Linked DNA regions of Canis lupus familiaris. The protein of the gene in region 3 binds, or shares a complex with, the protein of the main gene of each other region. Links are inferred from orthologs where the notes say so. Each region holds a gene or a part of one and is shown on either strand. Other genes may lie near its edges.

What was found. The genes of interacting proteins can lie anywhere in the genome.
Region 1: the proteins of TNNT2 (region 3) and TNNI3 are in contact, whole or in part, in a crystal structure (PDB 4Y99), measured with the Homo sapiens proteins. The link is inferred for Canis lupus familiaris from reciprocal best matches to the Homo sapiens genes TNNT2 and TNNI3. Residues at the interface, in NP_001263274.1 of Homo sapiens: Glu214, Lys217, Lys218, Ile221, Leu222, Arg225, Arg226, Lys227, Leu229, Ile231, Asp232, Leu234, Asn235, Glu236, Leu239, Arg240, Ala243, Lys244, Leu246, Trp247, Ile250, Tyr251, Leu253, Glu254, Ala255, Glu256, Lys257, Phe258, Asp259, Leu260; in NP_000354.4 of Homo sapiens: Arg68, Glu71, Lys72, Ala75, Leu76, Arg79, Gln81, Pro82, Leu83, Leu85, Leu88, Gly89, Phe90, Leu93, Gln94, Leu96, Arg98, Leu100, His101, Arg103, Val104, Asp105, Val107, Asp108, Glu109, Glu110, Arg111, Tyr112, Asp113, Ile114.
Region 2: the proteins of TNNT2 (region 3) and TNNC1 are in contact, whole or in part, in a crystal structure (PDB 1J1D), measured with the Homo sapiens proteins. The link is inferred for Canis lupus familiaris from reciprocal best matches to the Homo sapiens genes TNNT2 and TNNC1. Residues at the interface, in NP_001263274.1 of Homo sapiens: Gln266, Tyr269, Asn272, Val273, Asn276, Arg277, Asp280; in NP_003271.1 of Homo sapiens: Asp99, Phe101, Arg102, Asp105, Ala108, Asp109, Gly110, Tyr111, Arg147, Tyr150, Asp151.

The regions. Positions count from the first base shown.
Region 1 is NC_049222.1:103,239,686-103,244,304, forward strand, and holds the start of TNNI3 (troponin I, cardiac muscle), read left to right. Parts: upstream 1-1,580; 5' UTR 1,581-1,719; coding exon 1,720-1,730; intron 1,731-1,965; coding exon 1,966-1,978; intron 1,979-2,116; coding exon 2,117-2,203; intron 2,204-2,567; coding exon 2,568-2,609; intron 2,610-2,911; coding exon 2,912-3,043; intron 3,044-3,418; coding exon 3,419-3,508; intron 3,509-3,642; exon of another isoform or gene 3,643-3,924; intron 3,925-4,005; coding exon 4,006-4,182; intron 4,183-4,607; coding exon 4,608-4,619. Other genes in the region: DNAAF3 (dynein assembly factor 3, axonemal), read left to right, coding at 1-32, 187-261, 352-607. UniProt on the Homo sapiens protein: Troponin I is the inhibitory subunit of troponin, the thin filament regulatory complex which confers calcium-sensitivity to striated muscle actomyosin ATPase activity.
Region 2 is NC_049241.1:37,719,788-37,724,240, reverse strand, and holds the start of TNNC1 (troponin C, slow skeletal and cardiac muscles), read right to left. Parts: upstream 3,040-4,453; 5' UTR 2,933-3,039; coding exon 2,909-2,932; intron 1,363-2,908; coding exon 1,332-1,362; intron 1,127-1,331; coding exon 980-1,126; intron 514-979; coding exon 399-513; intron 162-398; coding exon 25-161; intron 1-24. UniProt on the Homo sapiens protein: Troponin is the central regulatory protein of striated muscle contraction. Tn consists of three components: Tn-I which is the inhibitor of actomyosin ATPase, Tn-T which contains the binding site for tropomyosin and Tn-C.
Region 3 is NC_049228.1:1,655,224-1,658,441, reverse strand, and holds the end of TNNT2 (troponin T, cardiac muscle), read right to left. Parts: intron 2,871-3,218; coding exon 2,780-2,870; intron 1,457-2,779; coding exon 1,416-1,456; intron 1,091-1,415; coding exon 1,045-1,090; 3' UTR 798-1,044; downstream 1-797. UniProt on the Homo sapiens protein: Troponin T is the tropomyosin-binding subunit of troponin, the thin filament regulatory complex which confers calcium-sensitivity to striated muscle actomyosin ATPase activity.

The DNA.
Region 1 (4,619 bases), on a different chromosome or scaffold from region 3:
GGACGGTTCCAGCTGCTTTATGTGGCCTGTGGGTAAGAAAGAGGTCTCTGGCTCCTCTGCCCTCACACCCAGAAATCCTGGCCCTCAGCCCCTCCTCAGTCAGCACCCAGATTCCCTGGCCCCACTACTCCCTCAGGACCTGAAAGTCTAAGTCTCAGCCCTCAGCCCTCACTTTTCTCTACTCAGGATGGTGCATCTTCTCAGCCCCGATCTCGGGGCCTGTGTGGCCCCCGGAGGACGCTTGGTGGTGGAATTGGCCCGGTGAGCCAGCCAGTGGGAGCGCAGGGCAGGGAATATCCAGCCCTGGGCTCACAGCCGGGGACCCCCTAACATACCCCTTCCTTGTTTCAGGTACCTGGTGGACTTGAGGCAGGAGCAGTTGCAGGGCTTTGCTGCCCGGGTTGGAGAGTTAGCTCAGGCGGCTGGATTCACGCCCCCACCCCAGGCCAGGCCCTCGGAGACCTTTGCGCGCTTCTGCAAAGCCTTGGACTCTGCTGGCCAGCACACTGACTCAGCTTCGGAATCCATGACTCCGCCCCCTGACACCCTGGCTCCGGCCCTTGAGAACCAGAGTCAGCCTCTCAAAGGCGGGACCCCACCCTCTTAGCCCCTCAAACTGCGCTCAGAACCCCTCAAACTCCAGCTCTACTCCCCAAGGTTCTGGCTCCACCCACAGAGAGTCTGACCCCATTCCCAGATATCCAGTCCCCCATCTCTGACCTCTAAGGTCAGGTCCTGGAAGTAGAGCTTGCCTCTAGAATATTCACTCGGGTATACTCTCAATATTCTCCAACAGCTCCAGCGGTGTCCCTAGAATTTCAGATTACCTTCCTGGGATTCTATATTCTGTTCCTAGAATTCTAGAGTGTTCTTTCAGGGTTCCACATTCCATTCTTGAGACTCTAGAGATCCGGCCCTGAGTCTCAGGCCCTCTATGTGGTTTTCTTGTCCTCAGAGGTCCTATTTTACCTGAGGGTTGGGGGAATCTGCTTTCCAGGGCTGGTCCACACCCACATAGTCCAGATAAAAAGAGTGGTGTCCTCTTCTTCATGTGCCCTTGTGTCTTTGTCTTCACTTTTGTCTCCAGGGCTGGGACAGGGAAGGGGCTAGGGTGGTTAAGAGAGGAGACCTAGTTCCAAGTGGATTTCTCTGGGCTGTTATTGCCTGAGAGTCTGGACCATACCTGGATCGTCACATAAATCAACAAAATTTATTGAGTGGCTAACAGGTTTGGGACACAGAAACTGATCATAGCTCTCATGGAGATCACTGTTTAGTGTGGGGATGAGCCCCAGACTTCTGGGTCTGAAGAACCAAGGAGCTGGGGGCCTGAACTCCTGCATCTGAGGGAGGAAGGGCTGGGGGCCTGAACTCCTGTGTCTGCTGGAGGAGGGGAATGGGGGCCTGAACCCCTGCGTGTGAGGGAGGAGGGGCTGGGTTCCAGGCCTCCAAGGTGGAAGGGTGATCCAGCTGGAGCACAGCCCACCCCACCCCTCACGCGCCCCGGTTATCTCACATCCTGGGCAGGGGGAGGAGGTGGCAGCAGTATATTTAGTCTCAGTCCACGCCCCTTATCTCAGTGTCTTCAGTGAAGCTTGAGCAGTGCAGACAGACTGAAGCTCTGGGGGCCTTCAAGGTCATCCCGGATGCCCCCTCACTGACCTTCCAATCGCCCCTTGCCCTTCTTTGCCTCCTGCAAGCCTTGGCCTGAGTCTGCGCATGGCGGATGAGTGAGTGCATCTAGGGAACTCGGACCTGCAGGGCCCGAGGCGGTGGGACGTGGGCCTGTGAGGCCTGAGGAGGGAGGTGGGGACAGACTCCTGGCTATCGGCACGAAGAAAGGTTTGGGAACCAGACTCCCTGGAACCCGAGGACTGGGCAGCTGGTGGGCGGCCCCTGGGGTCCCTTAGACTGGACGGGACAGAGGCCCACCATTAACCCCCCCTTCCCGGTCTCTTCCTTCAGGAGCGGCGATGCGGTGAGAGGAGGCGCAGGCCGGGGTCCACGGCAGGGGAGGGAGCCGCAGGGTGGGCCCTGGGGCGGGAGGTGGCAGCTCCACCCGTAGAGGGGCGCTGGGGGGGCCCGCAGTGACGTGGCTCCATCCCCCCAACCCCAGGCGGGGTGCCCGCCCCCCGCTCCGGCCCCGATCCGACGCCAGTCTTCCGCCAACTACCGCGCGTACGCCACGGAGCCGCACGCCAAGGTGAGCGAGGGGCTGGCGGGGCTCGGTTCCCGGTCCGCAGAGGGGGCGGGACCCAGGGGTGGAGGGGCGGTGCCAGAGCCTTGGCTGGGGCGGGGCTTTGGCTGTGGGCGGAGCCTAGGAGGAAGCTGCGCCCTAGGGGCGGGGTTTTGCGGAGGGAGGGCTCGGATTGGTGTGGCCTGCCTATGGGCGGAGTTCGTTGCCCATGGGAACTGCCTAAGCAGTCAGGGGGTCAGGGTTGGTGGATGGGGCTGAGGGGCTCAGCTTCAGCGGGAAGCGAGTCCAAATCTGGAACCTACCCATGCCCCCGACCATCTGTCTCCTACTCCCCGCCCTGATTATTCCTTGCTCCATGTCACCCCGGCAGAAAAAGTCCAAGATCTCCGCCTCGAGGAAACTGCAGCTGAAGGTGCTGGTGGGCCTGGAGGGGGCGCCTAGGTGTCCTCAGGGGGTGGAGCTGGAGGGTCGGGTGCGGGAGGGGGTAGGACGAGGCCTCAGTGGGGAGTGAGCGTGGCTTGTGGTGAGCAGCACCCACCCTCTCCCCGCCACGGGGGCGGAGCCTCGGATTGAAGGGGAGCGTCTCTGGAAAACCGCGGACCCTGCCTGGAACTGGGGGGCTGTCCTGGCCAGGGCGGCCTCCCCGGTGCGGATGCCGCGCAGCCCTCATCCGCCTCCCCGGGTGGGCTGCGGTCCCCGGCCTCGCCTCTGCAGACCCTGATGCTGCAGATCGCGAAGCAAGAGCTGGAGAGGGAGGCGGAGGAGCGGCGCGGAGAGAAAGGGCGCGCCCTGAGCACGCGGTGCCAGCCGCTGGAGTTAGCCGGGCTGGGCTTCGCGGAGCTGCAGGTACCGTTCTCATCAGGGACTCCTGCCCAGCTGGGGATCCGAGGTACCTAGTGACCGCTCCTGCATGGTTTGGACTCACCGGTCTAGTCACTGTCCCCTACCTCTGCTCTGGACCTTGTGATCCAGTCTGCTAATCCTTACCCTCAGGAGTTCAGAAATATGGCCTGCAGCTGCCTACAGTCTCAAAACCCAGAGATTAGGCTCTCCAGCCCCAATTCTGTCAGATTCTCAGGACTCCTGGCTCCCAGCACCCTTTATTCCAGCTGCCCCAGAGTCCTCTAGGACTAGATGTCCAGGCCCCCAGGGCCTCCTCCCTCAGACTCAGGAGTCAGAGTACCCCCGTCCCCCAACCACACATACCACATTCTTGACCAGGACTTGTGCCGACAACTCCACGCCCGAGTGGACAAAGTGGATGAAGAGAGATACGATGTGGAGGCGAAAGTCACCAAGAACATCACAGAGGTGGGGGGCCCTGGGCAGTCTTGGTCCCTTCGGGTAAAGTCTGGTGCCTGGGGTTGTGGTCTCAGTCCACGCCCTTGCAGCTGCTGTTGACTGCAGACACCAGGAGACCCAGGACAGCTGGGCCTGGCAGGGATGGGGCAGAAGAATGAGTATAAAGTGGTTAGGGAAGGCTGTTCCAGGCAGAGGGGACAATAGCACACAAAAGCCAGGAGTTGGGAACGCAGAAGCTGTATTCGTGGAAATGTGTAGCTGGAGCATCGGGTGTTGTTGATAGGTGAGCTCAGGCATGGGTCAGGAAATTGTGGGATGCATGCAGCAGCACCAGGAGGTGTCAAGTGTTTTTCAGAGAGGAGGCTGGGCCCGTCGGGAGGGCTTACAGTTACTGGATGAGGAGCCTGGATGAGACCTCCATAGGCCTGGAAAGAGAGCAGAGGGAAGTATAGGGTGGAAGAATGGGTCTGGTGGAGGTTTCTACCTTCCCTTATGGCTGCCCCCAGATAGCAGATCTGACCCAGAAGATCTTTGACCTTCGTGGCAAATTTAAGCGGCCCACCCTGCGGAGGGTGAGGATCTCTGCAGATGCCATGATGCAGGCGCTGCTGGGCACCAGGGCTAAGGAGTCCTTAGACCTGCGGGCCCACCTCAAGCAGGTGAAGAAGGAGGACACAGAGAAGGTGAGTGTGGCTAGAGCCAGGAAAGGGGGTGCTCAGAGGAGAGGGTGTGGGACATAACAGTCATTGGGCCTAAGCTCAGGGCAGATGCTACTTGGAGTTATGGGGAGAAGAATCTGGTAAGAGGTCCCCAATAGGAAGTATAGGAGGGGCATAGGAAGTGCAAGGGGAAGCCAGAAAGTAGAAGGGGAAGCCAGGAAGTGCATTAGGGAGAAAGGAAGTAGCAAGGCCAGAAGTGCATGAGGGAGATAGGATGTGCATGGGGGCAACTTTGATGGGATCGCCTGAGGGGATGAGAAGCCTTCCAGAAGCAGATCTCAAAATGGACATCCAAAGCAGAGTGGCCCAGCGGGCCAAAGATTGGGGGGAGGCTATTTGAGAGAGTGTAGATGGGAGAGAAGCCCTCACTCCTGGCCCCATTCCTCCAGGAAAACCGGGAG
Region 2 (4,453 bases), on a different chromosome or scaffold from region 3:
ATCAAGGGCACTGCCCCCCCTCACCGTCATAGTCAATGCGGCCATCATTGTTCTTGTCACCATCCTTCATTAGCTCCTCAATGTCATCTTCCGTGATGGTCTCACCGGTAGCCTGAAGCATCACCTTCAGCTCATCCAGGTCTATGTAGCCATCAGCATTTCTGTGCCGGGGGCGGGGATGTGAAGGGGACCTCAGAGCTCATGGTGTGGGCCAGAGGAAGGGAAGAAGCCCCACCCATGATACCAGGAGGCAAGGCAGGGCCAGCACTGAAAATGGGGTGGGACATCCCATTTTCCCATTGCACAGAGTGGGAAACTGAGGCCTTGAGGTCACAAGACTGTCCCCCTTTCCCCACCTCTGCAAGAGTCAGGTCAGAGATCCTGGGTCATGCACTCACTTGTCAAACATGCGGAAAAGGTCGGACAGCTCCTCCTCAGACTTTCCTTTGCTGTCATCCTTCATGCACCGAACCATCATGACCAGGAACTCATCAAAGTCCACTGTGCCACTGCCTGCAAGGTGAGCAGCCCAGCCATCAGTGAGGGATGGTTAGAATGCTCTTGACACTAAACCCCTGTGCTCTTGCTGCGTGCATTCTCTCTCTTTTTAAAAATATTTTATTTATTTATTCAAGAGAGACAGAGAGAGAGAGAGGCAGAGACACAGGCAGAGGGAGAAGCAGGCTCCCTGCAGGGGAGCCTGATGAAGGACTCGATCCCGGGACTGCAAGACCATGCCCTGAGCCAAAGGCAGCCACTCAACTGCTTAGCCACCCAGGTGCCCTGCTGCATGCATTCTCATAGCAACTCCGTGAGACGAGTGTGGTCATTATATCCATTTCAGAAGATGACACGATTGAGGCTCAGAGAGGTTAAAAGTTCCTTCGAGGGCACAGAGTAATAAGTGGCAGAGCCAGGATTTGGGGCCCAAGCACTGGAGGCTGATGTGGGTCTAGGGTCTGGGGGGCAGGGGGCTCACCGTCCTCATCCACCTCGTCAATCATCTCCTGCAGCTCCTCGGGTGTGGGGTTCTGGCCCAGCATCCTCATCACCTTGCCCAGCTCCTTGGTGCTGATGCAGCCATCTTCGGCGCCCAGCACGAAGATGTCAAAGGCTGCCTTGAATTCTGTGTCCAAAGGGAAGGAGGGGAAGATAGAGTGGTCAGGGCTCAGAAGCCAGGATCCCAGAAGGCCAGACCTCTGGGGCCATCTGCCAACTGCCTTTTCCCTCCAAGACCTCTGAGGTTGCGGTGAGAGGGACCCCGGCCTCGGGGGTCCTCATGCTCCCCCAGCCTGGCCCTGTCGTACCCCCACATATGTTGGAGCACTCACCATTTTTCTGCTCTTCTGTCAGCTGTTCTACCTGGAGAGAAAAAGAGGTCTCAGGACTGATTCAGGACTTGGCTGCTATTAAGGAAATCAACCCATTCCACAGATGGGGAAAGTGAAGCCAGGAAGAGGCAGGCCATTCCCAGGTCACAGTCCTCAGTCCTCACTCCCTGTCCCCCGAAGTCCTGAGGTGACCCAGCTGGCCTCACTGAGGCTGGGCTTAGGGCCAGGGTGACAGGTGGGCGCCCCTTCCAGGGCCAAGGTGACCCCGAGTAACAATAGTCAGTGACCACTCAATGCCCTTTCGGCTCCCTTGGTGAAATCCAAGCTGGGTGGCCTGAGGGACAGCTGTCCCTCAGGTTGGGACAATAAAACCAGTGTGGGGATAGGCAAAGCCACCCACTGTAACCTGACCTGGACGGCCACTGGGCTATTTTTAACGGGGGACAAAGTTAAACCTGGTGATTGTTCTGGGGACTCTGGCATGCAGGGGGTGGGGCAGCATTATCTGGCCCCCTGGCCTGCTGGTGCCTCAGGAGCCAAAATTAGTCCCCAGCCCCACCAGGCCTTGTATGGGCACAGGGTGGAGGGCAGCTCCCTCCCCCGCCAGCTCTGTGGACTCCTGTAGGACAGGCAGGGACAGCCCTAGAGCCAGCTCTAGCTCTCCCCTGCCCGGAAGTGAGGCTGCACTCCACTCTCAGGGCTGAGGGAGGGGTTCCCTTGGGGACAGTTGTCTATGCCGAACATCCTTGCCTCTGGGACAGGGGGAGGTCAGCAACACCACCTACTCCTGGGAGGGACTAGTATCTGAGGCCCCTCAGTGACCCTAGGACGCTGCAGGGACTCAGGGTGACCACTCTCCAGCCCTCACCCCTGGCTAAACCACTGACCCCTGAGCCCTCCAGGCCTGATTGGGGTGGGGGCCCTGGTTCTTGATTCCTTTTTCCCTGTGTCTCCCCCATGCTTAGCGCTTCCCTGCCTACCTCAAACCTCTAAGCCCCTTTTCCAGCTCAGGATTCTGGATCACCAGCCCCCTTCTCAAACTGTCCCACCCTCCACAGCATCTTCAGCCATCCAAGGAGCTGGAGGTAGGGGGTGGGGTGAGGAGCAGAATGTGAGGGGCAGAAACGGAGAGGGGGATGAGGTGGGGACAGGGAAACAGAAGCAGAGACTCAGAGGGACAACGAGGAGGAACAAAGAGATAGAAAGAGACTGATAAAGGCAAAGATCCAAAAACCACAGACACAAGTGAAGGGAGATGTGGCTGGAAGATAGTGACACAGACTACAGACACTTGGAGACAGGGGCAGACGTGATGCTAAAAGTTATGACCTCCTCCACCCTCCAAAAAGCTCCTCTCCAGACCTTGAACCCCTCACCCTAAACCCCTCACTCCTTCTACACCCTGGAATTAGAATGCCAGATCCACCATCCATCCCCTTGAGGGCCTGGGCTGAAAGTTGCATGGGCCCTCTCCCAGGTCCCCACTACCTTTGTAGAGTGACCTCACCCCCCATCGTGAGTTGAGTGAGGCCCCAGTGGGCCCATCCACCCCAGCCCTGCCCAGCCCAGTCCCTCACCGCAGCCTTGTAGATGTCATCCATGCTGGCGGCTCACAGGGCAGGCTGCTGGGGTTGCCAGCCAGCCCTGGGCTTAAATAGCCCTGCCCCACCTCATTCCCCGCCGGCCCAGCCCACCCCAGCCTGCAGTATCCTCCACCCCCTCCCCCAGCCCTGGTGATCTCAGGCTGGCCTGAATCCCTGTGTCCTCTGCCCAGTGCAGGGAGCAGATGAAGGGCTGCAAAAGGACCACATCTTTTTCCTTCTGTCCCCCATGGTTCCTAGGGGACTCTCTGGAAAGTCTTCTTGAATGAAAGAAAACATAAGCCAAGAACAGGACAGGTGCTGAAAAATAGTGGGCCCCAGGCCAGGCCCCTACACACAGAAGTTCAATTCTTATCCAATCAGGAAGATGGGTAATATTCCCATTTTTCAGATGAGGAAACTTAAGCTCCTGGAGGGCTGGTGATTTGTTCGGAATACGTCTGACTTGGCAGCCCCCGTCTTAAGCTAAGCCTGTTGCGGAGGGAGGGTGCTGGCCAGCAGTATGCAGCAAAGAGAGGCCCTTTCAAGAGAAGCTTCGAATGCCAAGTTCAGAGTATGGCGTTGTGTAACCACCGGAGAAGGAAGTCATTCACCCACGTTAGCACAGAGTGCTCTGGAGCCCTTGGGCCCAGGGGTGTCAGAGCATCCATAGCCAAGACCTCTCATCTCCCCAGGGAGAACAGCACTAGCTCTGGGTGTGGGTAAGCTGCATTTGGTCATTCAGTGCACACATGTACAGATGCCCCATCCGTGCTAGACTTTTCCCCTTCAGCTGGGTTACCATCCCCCTCTTCCAGGTGGGGGTCTTCCCCTGGGTTAGGGCTCCATCTCTGTGTCTGTGCTTCCCCATTCCAGTACTATAGTTTCTAGGGCCAGGGCCAGCCTGTTAGCCCCAACGGCCAGCGCCCATCCCTCCCTCCCACCCCCCTGCGGAGCCCCGTCTCCATAACCACACCAGCTCCCTGCCTCGAGTGCCGGGCACTGCGTGGATTAATCCCATTCGCTACAGGAGGTCTCCAAGTCTTGGAGAGGTTAAGAGCTGGCGCCAAGTTACTGTGTCCAGCTCGGGCTCTGCGCACAGCTCCTAACTTCAATCCCGTGCGTGCCCTGCAGAGGATGAGCCTGAGAGCCAGGCGAGGGGCGACGGCTGACTCTTGTTCTGGAAGGGGAAACTGAGAGCAGGCGGAGCAGTGGCTTCCCTCGGGTGGCCCGGGCGGTGCGGGGCGTTCCGTCCTCGCTTCCCGGGCGCAGAGCCGTCCCCGCCCGGCGCCTCGGTCCTCCTGGGGGCGCGCGGGCCGCAGCCAAGGTACCGCGCCGCGCCGGCGCTCGGGCCTCTGCCGTCTGCGCACGCGCGCTGCTGGCGGCTGCTGTCAATTACGCGCGGGGGGCGGGGCGGGGCGGGGCGGGGCGGGGCGCCAAGATGGCGGCGGCGCGCGCGGCGGGGGCGGGGGCGGGGGCGGGGGGCGGCGGGGCCCAGGGGGCGGCGGGACGCTGACCCCGCCCCCTGCTGCTGCCAGTCTG
Region 3 (3,218 bases):
AAGCGCGTGGGAAGCCTTCCCAGGGACCGTGGGGCTCCCTTTGGTGGATGGCCAGTGGAGAACTGAGGGAAGGCCTTGCAGGCAGAGGGAGCAGCTGCAGCAGAGGCGTGGGGGCGCCGCATTCGGGGCTTCCCCTAGGGAGCTGTTGAGCCGGGTGCTCTCCCATCTCACGTGGTTCCCCTTCTGCCAACGGGGCCCAAGGCCGCCACGCCGTCTTCAACTCAGGGAGCCCGTGGTCCCTGGTTCGCGCGCACGCCCCAGAGGACGCGCAAGTGGCGGGAGGGGAGAAAGCCGAGCACTCGGAGCAGCCCACGCCTCTCAGCAGCTCAGCTCGGCCTGAAGGGCCACCTGACGACACCGGCCCTCCTTCCCCTCGGACGCCTGCTTCCTAGGCCCCGGCCAGGAAGAGAAAGAAAACAGGCCCATCCAAGAAGGCCTCCATTGTTCCCAAGGAGTGACTCACACGGGAACCCTTGTCCTGACGCTCAGGACGCTCGGCACGTCCCCCCGGGCCTCACGGTGACTCACGGCGGTGACTCACGGCAGCCCCGGCACAAGGCCTCCTGCTGGGTGTGAGGCCCAGGCCCTGGGTGAGCCCGCGCGTTCGCGTTCGGGGCCAGCACCCTCTCGCCTCCCGAGCAGGTGGACGGGGCTAACTTTGAGTTTGGCAGTTACCAGCGGCCCGTGTCCCCAAGGGGCGTGTGTCCCCGAGGGGCCCGAGTCCCTGAGGGGCTGCTCTCGGCCCTGACTCCCTGTGAGACAGGCTCTCACCTCAGCTTCCCTCCCTCTGAAGAGTTGCTGACAGAAAAGGCACGCAGTGTGTGTTGGCTTTTATTATGGGCATGCGTGGCACGTGGGGTGCATGCGTGGGCACGTGGGGTGCATGCGTGGGCACGTGGGGGGACAGGTGCACAGCAGCTTCTGGCCGGGCCAGCTCCTGGTTTCCAGACACCAGCCTGCCTCCAGCACCCGGGGGGCCCCAGGGACTGGGGGCGAGCGGGACGGGGCGCCGGCGAGGATCTTTGGTCAAGGCGACTGCTGCCCCTACTTCCAGCGCCCGGTGACCTTGGCCTTCCCGCGGGTCTTGGAGCTGCCAGAGAAGCGGGGCGCCGTCAGAAGCGGGACACAGGCCGGGCAGCAGGTCTCCACAGGGAGGGGGCGCAGGTGGCCGACGGGGAGGGTCGACAGGGTGGCCTGGAGCTGCCTCCGAGCCTCGGGTTGGGGTGAGTCCCCACGGGCCCTGCACCCCGTTCCCCGCAGAGCAGTCACCCCGGGGGAGCCCAAGGAGGAAGCAGCCTGTGCCCTGAAGCGGAGGAGGCAGGGGTGGGAGCCGGAGCCCTCAGAGGAGGAGCGGGATGGCTAGGACCCGGGGCAGGAGGAGGCAGGCGGGCTGGAGGAAGGACCTAGAAACTTACACTTTCTGGTTATCATTGATTCTGTTCCGGAGAACATTGATCTGTAAGTGAGAAAGACAGAGTAACCTCGGAGCTCAGGGACTCAGGTCCCAGGTGGCTGGGGATGAGGGGGAAGCTGGCTTAGCACAGCTGTGGAGGAGGAAGGAGGAGGGAGGAGGGGGAGGAGGAAGAGGAAAGATGAGGGAGGGGGTAGGAGAGGGAGGAGGGGAGGGGGCCGAGCAGCAGCGCTGTGAGATCCAGAGGGCCCCGGGGCCACAAGCAGAAGCCAGGCAGAGGCTTCCCGGCCACCCCACGGGGCTGTCGCTGTGGGGTCCCAGAGCCACAGAGGGCTCGGGACAGGGTGGCACAAAGAGGCCTGAGCCCCGGTGCAAGGCCGGGCCTCAGGAAGCCCCCAGGCAGCCGCAGCCCCCAGGGCCCCAGCCGTCCCGCCCTGGACCCCAGGGGAGAAGGGAGGCCGGGGCCTGGGGGCTGGGGAGCAGCTAACACCTCCTGCGCCCGCGGGGTGCCCGGCACCTTCTGTTCCGTCATGAGCACTCTTCCCAACTGTTCACCCGCAGGATTATCACGAGGTATGACCTCATCCACGCGAAAGCGCTCCAAGGGGCCTCGGCAGAGCCATCACTGCGACTGTCACCGTTACTCCCCCCCGCCCCCCCAACCCTCACCGTGGCCTGCGGGCATCCTCGTCGTTTCAATGGGAAACAGAAACGAGGAGAGCTAAGCGACTGGCCCGGGTCACGCGGGTGAGGGCCGAGCCACGGACCCGGCGGTGCGGCCACCACGTGCACGCTCCGTCACCACACGGGGACATCCATGCAGCCACGGGGGCCTGAGCGGTGCCCAGAGGAGGGACCCTGCGCAGGAGGTGCCCGAGGCAGCCCCCAAGGGGAAGCTGCGCTCCTGGGGCCGACGGGCCTGTGGAGACCCGCGCCGCCCAGCTGACTCCAGCCTGCTGCCGGGACACCTGGGACCCCTCGGCGGGCTGGGTGCACCCCAGGGCCTCAGAGTCTGTGGGGACGGGAGATGCGGCTGCCGGGGCGAGGGGCCTCCTCTGCACCCGGAGCCCTGCTCTGTGCACCCGGCTCCCCCTGTCTGTCTGGGCGGCTGCCTCGAGGCCTCAGAAAGGAGGGGAGGGGGACCCCCCAGGGCAGGCCCCCCCAACATGGGTTTTTGCTCCGGCCCCGCCAGTGAACCATCAGAGCTCTGCAGCGAGCAGTGGCCGGTGGTGGACCCTGAGCACTGTCAGGGATGAGACCCCGAGTGCGGGGTGACAGGGTCGGGGAAGGGGCCTGACTGACAGCGCCGAGGGGACCCACCGACCCAGGAGGGGCGTGGTGGGGTCAGGGTTGGGGGGAGCAGCTCACTTCGTATTTCTGCTGCTTGAACTTCTCCTGCAGGTCGAACTTCTCGGCCTCCAGGTTGTAGATGCTCTGCCACAGTTCCTTGGCCTTCTCCCTGCGCGGCCGGAGCGGGGCGGGGTGGGGGCCCTAAGGGGGGGCCTTCCTCCCGAAGGGCCCCGGGCCCCAGAGGCCCCAGCCCTCCTGCACCCCAGGCCGGCCTAGGTCCCCAGCCCACCCACTCAGTGTGGCGCCCAGATGGCAGTGCCCGGGGCTTGGGGAGACAACCAGGGGCCGGAGGACCGAGGTCTGGGGAGGGGCAAGGCCCTGCAGCACCGCAGAGCACAGTCCGATCCCCGTGTCCCCCCCACCCCCAGAGGGCGTCTACTCAGTGCTCCCTCCCTGTTGGCCAAGCAGACCCGGCTTGACCCGCTCAGGCCCAGCTCCGTCCACCAGGCCGGTCTTT